2 linked regions of the Ovis aries genome follow. The protein of the gene in region 2 purifies or fractionates together with the protein of the main gene of each other region. This does not show direct contact. Links are inferred from orthologs where the notes say so. Each region holds a gene or a part of one and is shown on either strand. Other genes may lie near its edges.

Region 1 (5,804 bases), on a different chromosome or scaffold from region 2:
TCAACACACCATCGTTCTGTTCCTTGAACAGTCTAATGCATTCCCATTCCACGGCTTTTGCTCCTGCTGTTTCCCAGGTTTCCTGTCACATCTGCAGGGATTACTTCCTTGTTCACCCAGGCCTCTGCAAATGTCACTTTCTCAAAGAGGCTTTCTCTTTCACCAAATCTAAAATATCCCTTCCCTGCCAACCATAACCCTACCCTCCCTCACTCACCACTTTCTATACTTATATGCTCTTATTCCTGCCTGGAATTATAATTTTATTGCCTGCTTCATTATAATATAAACACTAAGAAGGCAGAGACTTCAGCTTGATCACAACCTTGGCATTTATTGTCTAGTTAAGTAATATAACTAACAGCATCTAATAAATTGTCAAGTATTGAGCATTTCAAGTTATTTTGTAAGGGGGTAGAATTATAAACAAAATACAAATGTAGGCTATGATCGTCACTACAGAATTCACTACTAACTCTTTCATCTGAAAAATCTATAAAGGGCAGATTACCACTTCTCCTGGTGGCTCAGAGGTTAAAGCATCTGCCTGGAATGCAGGAGACCCGGGTTCGATCCCTGGGTCGGCAAGATCCCCTGGAGAAGGAAATGGCAACCCACTCCAGCACTCTTGCCTGGAGAATCCCATGGAGGGAGGACCCTGATAAGCTACAGTCCATGGGGTTGCAAAGAGTTGGACAACACTGAGCGACTTCACACACACACTACTTCTCCATTTGTTTTCATCGTCAAAGCCACCATCTAAGGAGATAGTGGACAAAACTGCATAAACACAGAAAGCCACAAATCTCCCAGAAATCAGACTTTTCCCAGCATTCTCTTCTCAGCCCTGATACTCTCCTTCCTTTCCCATATATAAATATATATATATATATATTTTGCGGCCTGGAGAATTAAGTTCAGAAAATCTTGCCCCATGTGAATAACACTCTGCAACTTTCAATCTTAAAAATCTGTGGAGAATCAAATATACCTTCATTTTCGAGTACAGATATGGATTAGATTAAACAGGAATTAAGCTATGGTACAAGTTCTCTTTGCTACACATTGGTTGCAGAAGATCAGGAAGTTACATGATAGTCATAGTTTACTTTTTCAATGTCCTATGATAACAAATAGGTATACTGTCATTCCATACATTCCAAATCAAAGTTCTTATCTTTCTTAGCAATGTCTGTTCTGCTGTTCTCACCACCCTCATTTTCTTTAAGGATGACATATTCTACTTAGTTAACCAGTCGAGCTATTTACTAGCTGTATGGATTTGGGGCAAGTTAACTCAACTTTCTACGATCTACAAAGTGGAATAAAATTTATACTGACATACTAGGGTTGTTTTAAAAATTAACCAAAATGGATAAAGCACTTTCCATTGCTGCTATACAGCACACAGTCAACAATATCTAACTGTTATTTATTATCATTTTATCATTTACCAATCTGTCATTAATCCCTATCAATGTAACCTTTGGAATGGCTCTTATCTTCATCCAGTGTTTTCCACAACTACTGTTATAATAATACGGAAATTGTTTATAAATTGTTTGAGAAGTCCTCCATCCTTCACAGAAGCTGTGTAACTTGTCTAAACACAGGTCTAATTTTGTGACTCTAATGCTAAAACTTTCAACAATAATAATTCTTTAGCATCTTTTGGTAACACAGCATATATTTTTAAAAAATTGTTAAATGAATCAACTAGTTTCATAGGGTTTAAACAAAGAATAAAAGTTACTGTGTAACACCAGTTACTTTACACACCTTGTTTTAAATCCTCATAATCCCTCTAGGTTATTTCTCTTAACTTTTTACAAAGGCTCAAAGGTTAAGTGACCTGGCTAAAGCTAGCTAGGTAAGTAAGCTCAGGTATGTTTAACTTTCACACTGCCTAAGTTTTAGTAGAACCTCTTGCAACCTCTTACCATGTAGTCTACGTTTTGACTCAGAAATCCTTTTTTTAAATTGTTAAATTTTTTTTTTTTTTACAATGTTGTGTTGGTTTCTGCTGTACAACAACGCGAATCAGCCATCTGTGTGTTCGTGCTAAGTCGCTTCAGCAGTGTCTGAGTCTTTGTGATCCCATGGACTGCAGCCATCCAGGCTCCTCTCTGTCCAAGGAATTCTCCAGGCAAGAATACTGGAGTGGGTTGCCATGCCCTCCTCCAGGGGATCTTCCTGACTCAGGGATCTAACATTGCATCTTACATCGCCTGCAATGGGAGGCAAGATTTTTTTAACAGTAGCGCCACCATCAGTCATAAATATACATATATACCCTCACTCTTGAGCCTCCCTCCCCTTTCTCCATCCCACTCCTCTAGGTCATCACAGAGCACCAGACTGGGCTCCCTGTGTCATACAGCAACTTCTCACCAGCTATCCATTTTACACACGGTAGTGTGTATCTGTTGATGCTACCTTCTCCATTCATTCACTCTCTCCCTCCCCACCCCGGCTGTGTCCACAAGTCCATCTCTCCTGGCTCAGAAATTCTTAACCTGAAATCCATGGAATTTGGGATGGATTTCAAAAATTATTGTAAATCCCACGAAATTTTCAAAGGTAAATTTTAAAGGTGAAACCATGACTTTTCTACGTTTATAAAATGAACTCGTCAATCATTTTATTTAAGTAATTAACCAGGGAACTAGTTAAGTGCTAAAAACCAGTTCAAAGGTGAACTCAAAAACTAGACAAGCGCAAATACAAGCAAGCAAAAATATTGAAATGAACTTGTTAACAGATGTAACACTAATCAGGGCAATAACTCTTAAGACTTATTTCAATTATAACTTACATAATTGTAACATAGCTCAATGACAATGAAAAGCAGAGGTAAGCTGGAAAAGTAAGCTAGACACCTCTTTTTTTTTGGCTATTTCAACGTCTTTCACAATTTTTCTTTAAAAGGTTATAGAAAATATTTAGAGATGTATATGTATTTTCCTGGGAGGCTCATCCATATCTTTTAAATCACGTTTTAAAAGGAAATGGTGTGTCAAAAAGGTTAAGAGAACTATAGTTCTAGTCACATCTGACTATCCAGCGTTGCCTACTTTCTTGTCTCTGTGCCTCTGCTTTAAAAGCTTCTTGTCTTCCTTGTCTTATCAAGTCCTATTCAATTTTCAAGGCCCAGGTTAAACGGCATCTTACTCTTTCTAGCTTTCTGCTAGCACATTTCCCCTAAACAACCGCCTCATCTGTTTCCCTTTTAAGTATGTCTATTAACGCACTCAATAATACACTGTATTTTTTCTTCCTTCCATAACTGGATGTTCAGCTCTCTGAATGACAGAGACAAAAGTTCTGAAAAAGGAAATGACTTAATTTAAAAATACAAGTCCACATTCGCTATCGTTTGGCCACCAAAACTCGAATCTGCGAAGAAAAGCAATTCCCCTTTTGACTACTGCCCCTTTAGGTACCCGTCCTTCCTCAAGGAAGCCGTCAGACGCGGGACTACCCCAAACCTCCCAAAACCGGGCGGCAAGCGCCCCCAATCACTAGAAAACTGGAACTGCAAGGGCTGCCGGAGGACTCTTGCGCGTGCGCACAGAGAACCAGGACACTAGGGCAATCTAACTGATGGGTTGGTGGGAGGGGGCGGGATGAGAAGGACCAGAGATGACAGAAAGGACCGGCATAGAAAAAGACTGAGAGTAATTTAGATCTCACCCAACCTGGGCTTCCCTAGAGTCCACTTAGAACTTACTCTGTCCAATTCCCAAAATACAGCGCCAGAGACTGCGTTCTTCAGTCCTTCGCGTCCCCCGAACCTTATAGTCGTGGTTATTTTAGCGTCACATGAGCGACAATTCTTCCGAACGCCTTGGAAAAGATGGGCCCAGAGGTTGTGCGACCGACATTTACGTCACTGGCGTAGGCCCGCTCAGCGTGGGGGCGGGACATCGGAGAACGCAGTCGCCACAGAGGCTAGCAGCCAAAGAGGAACTTGATTGGCAGTTTGAAAACGGCCATTCAGGTCCGGAGCCGTGGTGGGCGGGCTAAATAGTGGGGTTGGATCTGGTGCGGTCGCGAGTTGATGATGTCACGGCTTTTCGCGGGAGAAGTTCGAAAGTGGGTTTTGTGCAATGAGCAAGTTAAAAGAGCTGTTTCCACTCGGGAGTTTCTGGGGATTGAGGGTAGATAGGCTGGAGTTTTGAGCTCGAGGTGCTGTCACTGATTTTGATGCGACGGGCGAAGGAGTTTGCTCCGCCAGACGGGGTTCGGTAACGAAACTGTGTGGAGATAAGGTTGGTTCACGGCTTGGCGCAGCAACCTGTAAATAATTAGTGCTTCGTCTTTACCACCTTCCCCCAACTCCTGCTGGGCAGTTCCGGTATCCGTGTGAGAACCCGGGATGGTTTTGCTGTTTATTTTTAGGACTGACAAAGGGTCCCTTCTTCATTGTCATCTGGTTACACAAGCTAGTGATAATTAGAACGTTGGCAAATGAAATGTGAGCATCTTTTGGTTGTCTGGACTGGACCGTTTCTTAAAAGGCTATTGGGCTCGTGATTCTTAAATTTTTAAATCTGTGAACCACTTAGGGATTCGAAAGATCCTGCTTGTTCCAAAAGAAAAGGACCAAAAACATCTCATCGTACTTAGCAAGAACAGGTCATATTTTAGTGATAACACCGAATTTTATACATAAATCTAAAAAACAGCACAATAATGTGTGTGAAGATATGTATGTATTTCTGTACTAAATTATCGCAAAACATTTAATCTCTCCCTTTTTTTTGAAGTGTAATTCTTTAATCTACCACTTAACAAGAGTTAGGACCGTCTCAATACCTTTTACATCGCAAATCCCTCAAGTAATATTTCTAATTTAGGAAAACAATGGGGGAATTTATTTTGCAGTTGGTAAACAGCATATAAGTAATCCTAAAGAAGTAAATACTGGATTTCTAACCTGTAAATTGTGATGGTAATAACAACTTTTAGGACTATGAGACTGATAAATATTATATGTAAAGAATCCAGTCCCATTCTTGCCTGTTACAGTAGGTTTTCCATAGTCACATAATGTAGTTTTTGTGAATGGGAACACCAGAATTTAGACTACTTAGTTTTAAATTCTGAATCTGCCATTTATTTACTTCATGAGCTTAGGCAAATTACATACTGATGTACCTCACTTCCTGTTTTTGTAAAATGAATATAAAAAGTAGTATCTGTACTATAAGGTGTAAAATTTAAAGCATTTTAACAGTGTTCTAGCATATAATTTACACTGAATAAATAATAACTGTTATTAAAGGGATCTAATGTTAACTGCTACATGCCAAGCATTGTGTTGACACTATGTAGTCTTATCTACATATATTTGATGTCTAACCCATTCAGTGGCTAGAAGCAAGTTGCTGTTCAACCAGCAGTCAACTATGTGTTTCTTTGGACCTCTGTTATCTTCTTGGCATTCACTAGGCATCTGTCAATCCTGTTAGCTGGAGGGGAGGGATTAGGATATGGAGTTATATTTCTGAAAGGCAGTGCCTCTGTAGGTCTGGCCCTGTGCTGTGAACTATATCATGGGACAAGCATTCATTTCTCATTTGTGTACCGTTTGCCCTGCCCTTTCTCCATTTAGCAGCCAGAGCAATCTTGGTAAAACCCAAGTCAGATTATGTTAACGTATTCTTGAAATTCTGCCTTGGCCTCCTACTGTCTTTTTAAAAAGTCCGAACAACTTAGCATAAAATAGAATGCCCTTCGCATCCTGTTATTGCTCACTTTTTCAGACTTATCTCTCACAACTCACTATCTTACACTTGATT
Region 2 (5,969 bases):
AGTCTTTTTCAATGAGTCAACTCTTCGGATGAGGTGCCCAAAGTACTGGAGTTTCAGCTTTAGCATCATTCCTTCCAAAGAACATCCAGGACTGATCTCCTTTAGAATGGACTGGTTGGATCTCCTTGCAGTCCAAGGGACTCTCAAGAGTCTTCTCCAACACCACAGTTCAACAGCATCAATTCTTCGATGCTCAGCTTTCTTCACAGTCCAACTCTCACATCCATACATGACCACAGGAAAAACCATAGCCTTGACTAGATGGACCTTTGTTGGCAAAGTAATGTCTCTGCTTTTGAATATGCTATCTAGGTTGGTCATAACTTTTTTTCCAAGGAGTAAGCATCTTTTAATTTCATGGCTGCAATCACCAGCTGCAGTGATTTTGGAGCCCAGAGAAATAAAGTCTGACACTGTTTCCACTGTTTCCCCATCTATTTCCCATGAAGTGATGGGACCAGATGCCATGATCTTCATTTTCTGAATGTTGAGCCAACTTTTTCACTCTCCTCTTTCACTTAATGCTAACTATAGGCAGTATATGGCAGAGGAAGGCTTGCAGTAAAAGAAAATACTTCTGAGAATGAATTAGAATCAAACTGAGTGGGAAACGCCATGTCTAGAAATGACAAAACTCAAAATATTTTTTATAAAAGACAAAAGGTTCTAATATTACTCAAATATAATCAAGGTGAATTGACTGTTCCAGGAAAGCAAGAACAATGAAATTATATTTGATTTTAAAATCTACATTTACAAGTAGTATAGTGTAGGGCAAATTACCTAATCTCCCAAGCCTCAGTTTCTTTATTATAGGTTGTAGTGACCATTTGTTTGACAAACATTCATTTACTAGGGCCAGGACTACAGTAGGTAGGTGCTAAGGATATAAAAGCATAGATGGTATTGTTCCTACCCTCAACTTCACATAATGTAATAAATATTATGAGGAAACCTACTGAATGTTTTCTATGTGCCCAGTACTACTACAACTGTTTGTAACTTATCAAATCACTTAATCCTTTTCAGAACCTAAATCGTATGTACTGCATACCATTTAGGAGAAGGCAATGGCACTCCACTCCAGTACTCTTGCCTGGAAAATTCCATGGATGGAGGAGCCTGGTAGGCTGCAGTGCATGGGGTCACAAAGAGTCGGACACGACTGAGCGACTTCACTTTCACTTTTCACTCATGCATTGGAGAAGGAAATGGCAACCCACTCCAGTGTTCTTGCCTGGAGAATCCCAGGGACGGCGGAGCCTGGTGGGCTGCGGTCTATGGGGTCGCACAGAGTCGGACACGACTGAAGCGACTTAGCAGCAGCAGCATACCATTTATAACAGGTACAGGGAAGTTAAGTATCTTGCCTAGGAACAAACAGCCCTCAAGCTTGGAGCGGGGATATAGCTTGACAGTGGACAGGAATTTAAAAATCTGCATGCGCAGGATGGTAGTGGAAGTTTTCCACACGGAAGGAGCAGTTTTAGTTCATCCGGTCATACAATGGGGTTAAGATAGTACCACTTTTCCGGGTTGTTCCGATTGAATAAGAGTCAGCGATGTGGTAAGCACTAAATTATTAATAAAATGAAATTATTAATTTATTTTATTCCTTTAAATTGGTTCAGCGTGGCGAATCATTAGTGTCTTCGAGGATTTAGCTACGCGTTGAAGCTTTTCAAGTGGGTAATTTATACTGCTACCAACGAATTCAAGAGCTTCCGGTGGCTTTATGTTACGATATACGATAGGGCTACTCGCTTTGATTACTTTTTTCAGTTTTTGATACTCTTACCCATTTTCTCTGTCAAGTTCTCTATCTGCCTCATTTTGTACAGCCACCTCCGTCACAAGCGAAATTCTCCGAGAAACCGCCACGCGGCGCGAGGGCGGGAGCCTCACCCACCCACAGCCTTTGCCTCGCCCCCTCGGTCAGGGCGCGAAGGCTCAAAATAGTTCTCGCGAGAGGAGACTTTTTTTTTTTTTAACGAGAACTCCTAACCCCACCTTGCCTTTCCAGGGTCACATGACTGGCGCCTGCGTCCTAGAACCAAGGTTTTTCTGATCGCCTACTGGCTGTTAACTCGGCTGCAGGCTGACCAGGGGTCCATTCCGGAAGTAGATCCTTTACTTCCTCCCCGGAAGCGTGTCACAACCTAGCCGTCCGGCCTTTGCGGAAGTTCGTCACGTCGCAGTTGCCCCCGCACAGCGGATGTGTGTCGCCGCTTAGGTGACGCCGAGAAGTGCTTGCAGCCGCCGCCGCTGCCTTCTGGTTGAAGCACTATGGAGGGAGAGAGGAAGAACAACAATAAACGGTGGTATTTTACTCGAGAACAACTGGAAAATAGCCCGTCTCGTCGTTTTGGCTTAGATCCAGATAAAGAACTTTCTAATCGCCAGCAGGCGGCCAATCTGCTCCAGGACATGGGCCAACGTCTTAACGTGTATCCTTGCGGCCTAGGCCTTTCGGCCTTGAAGTCGGTCCCGCCCTGCTCTGCTTCCAGTCTTCAAGGTCTGTTAGACAAGAAGGGAGGAGGGTGGGCAGGGACTGGGTGTCTAGTTAGGAGAGCCTACGATGGGCAAAACTTAAGTGTTCGCGAGAGGGAAGCGAGGCGGAGTTAATTTCCCGCTCGCTCACCGGTGCCACCAGCCTTAGTGGGAATGAGTTTCCTTCCCGCTTTGTATTTTAAAGTAGTAGTAGTCCCATTTCGGTGTGTTGTGATCTCCTGTTCTGGTGACTTTGAGATTCTGCTTTTCTGTTATGCCCAAAGTGTCTAGTGGAGGTTTCACTGTTGATGGCTGCCTTAAACTTACTGTGTACAGAGAGTTTTGAGAAATTTCAGTACCTGAGGGTCTTATTAAAAGGGTGGCTTAGAATTAATACCCTAGCTTTGGCTTAAAATCCGTTCCTTCCACTTACTGCTTGTTGGAGACTGGTTTATAAAATGGGATGATACCTCTTGAATTTGATTTCTATGCCTAGCACAATATTGGGCACTTATATGTTCAAAAAGTAGTTACTGTTAAGAGTTTTACAGTATTTCAGAGGAAGGAACGATGTCAGTTTAGTTTGTAGGCAAGTAGACTTACAGATCTAATGTTCTGAAAAATCTTTTATAAAATACTGGGGTTTTAAGTTACTCAAAGTGCTAATGTGTATTCGTTTTTCTCATATTTAAAAGATTTAGTGGGGTTTTTTTCCCCTTTAAGTGTTTTGGTCAGAAAACCTACTCATTTTGTAGCAGACAAAGCTGTAGAGTTTTGAAGTTCTTTCCACTTAGGAAGTAAAAAATTTGTTTTTGGGCGCAACTACCATTTAAATGTGTTGCTGGCTGTATGTTTCTTTCTTAAGGTTGTCCTCACTTGAAAAAAGGTGTCTTTGGTGCCCATATTCAGTGTGTTTCCTAAGCATCCAGTCCGTACTGAGTTAAAATTTTTTAAAATCTGTTTTAGTGCATCCTAGTAGTTTCCTTGTGTGTGTATTACTGTGGTACTGTCTCATCTCTGTGTGCTCAGTCGTGTTCCACTCTTTGCGGCCCCATAGACTGTAGCCTGGCAGGCTCCTCTGCCCATAAAAATTTCCAGGCTAGAATACTGGCTGCTAAGTCGCTTCAGTCGTGTCCGAGTCTGTGCGACCCCGTGGACTGCAGCCTACGAGGCTCCTCCGTCCATGGGATTTTCCAGGCAAGAGTACTGGAGTGGGTTGCCAATACTGGAGAGGGGTGCTATTTCTTACGGGGAGGGTGGAGGCGGAGAATTTTCCTGACCCAGGGGTTGTTCCTGTGTCTATTGCGTCTTCTGCAGTAGTAAACAGGTGGTTTCTTTACCACTAGGGCCACCTGGGAAGCCCCCATCTGTGTATATCCCACATTGTTTTCTGAGGTCTTTTTAAGTAAGGCATTCAGAAATTTCCCTTTTCAAGAGAACCCTTGGACAGTGTTGGTGGTAGTGTATATTGGTGCAGTCATTGTGGAAAACCAAATAGAGGTTTCTCAAAAAGCTAAAAATTGAATTACTATATGACCCAGCAATTCCACACCTAGGTATATAAAACAAAGACACTCATTTGGAAAGATATGAGCACTCAGTTTGTTCATAGGAGCATTGCTTATAGTTGCCACGATATGGTAGCAAACTGAATGTTCATGGACAGATGAATGAATAAAGAATAGGTGGTATATATAGACAATGGAATACTATTTAGCTATAAAAAAGTATGAAGTAATGCCGTTTACAGCAATGTGGATGGACCTAGAGGTTATCATACTCAGTGAAACAGTCAGAAAGAAAAAGACAAATGTATATTATTTACATGTGGAACCTAAGGAATACAACTGGTGGAAACAAAAGGTAGACTCAGAGCTAGAGAACAAACTAATGGTTAGCAGTGGGGAGCGGTGAGGGGGCAATGTAAGGGTGGGAGTGCGAGGTACAAACTACTGGGTGTGAGGTAGACTACAAGGATGTATTTTATATTTTACAACAAGAGGAATATAACTGTAGAAATTGGAAATGGAGCATAATCTTTAAAAAGTGTGTTAAAAATTAAAGTCGGAATTTTTCTTTTCAATGAATATCAAATAATTCATTAAATACCAAAGTGTTTCTGGTCCCAGGGATCACCTTATGAGAAGGTTTGGTTGCCAGAGGGAAGTAGAACTGAAAAGTTAATTGCTGGAGCTTAGAAGATGAGATTAGTGGAAACATTCCTAGGAGGAAATCAGTCCTGAATGTTCATTAAAAGGACTGGTGCTGAAGCTGAAACTCCAATACTTTGGCCACCTGATGTGAAGAACTGACTCATTTGAAAAGACCGTGATGCTGGGAAAGATTGAAGGCAGGAGGAGAAGGGGACGACAGAGGATGAGATGGGTGGATGGCATCACTGACTCAGTGGACATGAGTGTGAGCAAGCTCTGGGAGATGGTAAAAGACAGGGAAGCCTGGCGACACAACTGAGCAGCAGCCTAGGGGGCAGATCGGGGAGGGCTTGAGAAGATGAGATAAGCAGAAGCATACCTAGAGGACAGATCAGGGAAGGGTGTTGTGAATCAGTGTGAAGAGAGATTCTGTGCTAATGGATCACCTTGGCAGGATTTTCAGTAGACAGGTGACAGGTCTTAGGTAGTTTTGTTTGTAGTCCTCAACCCACACATATTGAGACCTTGTTTATTAATTCAGCAAGTTTATAGTGATACCTGTTTCATAGAAGGCATTGTGTTAAGTGTCAATAGTTTGATGAAAACAGATTTGCTTTTTAATTCTGAGAGGCAAGTATGATATCTTTGTTTAAAACTGAAGAATTATAATTATTGATTTCCAACATTGTGTTAGTTTCTGGTGTACAGCAAAGTGATTTAGTTATACGTATATATAAATGTCCTTTTCCATTATGGTTTTTTACAGGATATTGAGTATAGTTCCCTATGCTGTTACCTGTTTGCTTATCTGTATATATTATATATAGTTGTTGATGGCTGAGTAATACTCCATTTCGTATATGCACCACATGTTCTTTATCCATTCATCTGTCCTTGGACGTTTAGGTTGTTTTCATACCTTGGCTTTTGTAAATAGTGCTGCTGTGAACATTAGAGTGCATGTATCTTTTTGAATTAGAAGAATTTTCTATGAATATATGCCTAGGAGTGGGATTGCTCGATCATATGGCAACTCTGTTTTTAGTTTTTTTGAGGAACCTCCATACTGTTTTTCATAGTAGCAGCATCAGTTTACAGTCCCACCAATAGGGTAGAGAATTCCCTTTCTCCGCACAGCAAAGAGGTAAGTATGATTTTCATTTAAGAGCATCTACTGTGCTTGGCTGCATGGTCCTTTTGGGGGCATATAGAGATTGTATTTTGGGGGATTGTACTATCTGTTTTGGGTCCTTAACTTGAACATTTTAGCTCACAATTGACGATCAACACTGCTATAGTGTACATGCATCGATTCTACATGATTCA

The links. Proteins that work in one complex are often made in the same cells at the same time.
Region 1: the proteins of CCNT1 (region 2) and LARP7 purify together in Homo sapiens (affinity purification with mass spectrometry; 10 studies listed by BioGRID and IntAct, with this or other methods). This does not show direct contact. The link is inferred for Ovis aries from reciprocal best matches to the Homo sapiens genes CCNT1 and LARP7.

What each region holds. Positions count from the first base shown.
Region 1 is NC_056059.1:13,386,998-13,392,801, forward strand, and holds the start of LARP7 (la-related protein 7), read right to left. Parts: upstream 3,887-5,804; 5' UTR 3,731-3,886; intron 1-3,730. UniProt on the Homo sapiens protein: RNA-binding protein that specifically binds distinct small nuclear RNA (snRNAs) and regulates their processing and function.
Region 2 is NC_056056.1:137,456,607-137,462,575, forward strand, and holds the start of CCNT1 (cyclin-T1), read left to right. Parts: upstream 1-2,231; 5' UTR 2,232-2,286; coding exon 2,287-2,447; intron 2,448-5,912; coding exon 5,913-5,969. UniProt on the Homo sapiens protein: Regulatory subunit of the cyclin-dependent kinase pair (CDK9/cyclin-T1) complex, also called positive transcription elongation factor B (P-TEFb), which facilitates the transition from abortive to productive elongation by phosphorylating the CTD (C-terminal domain) of the large subunit of RNA polymerase II (RNA Pol II).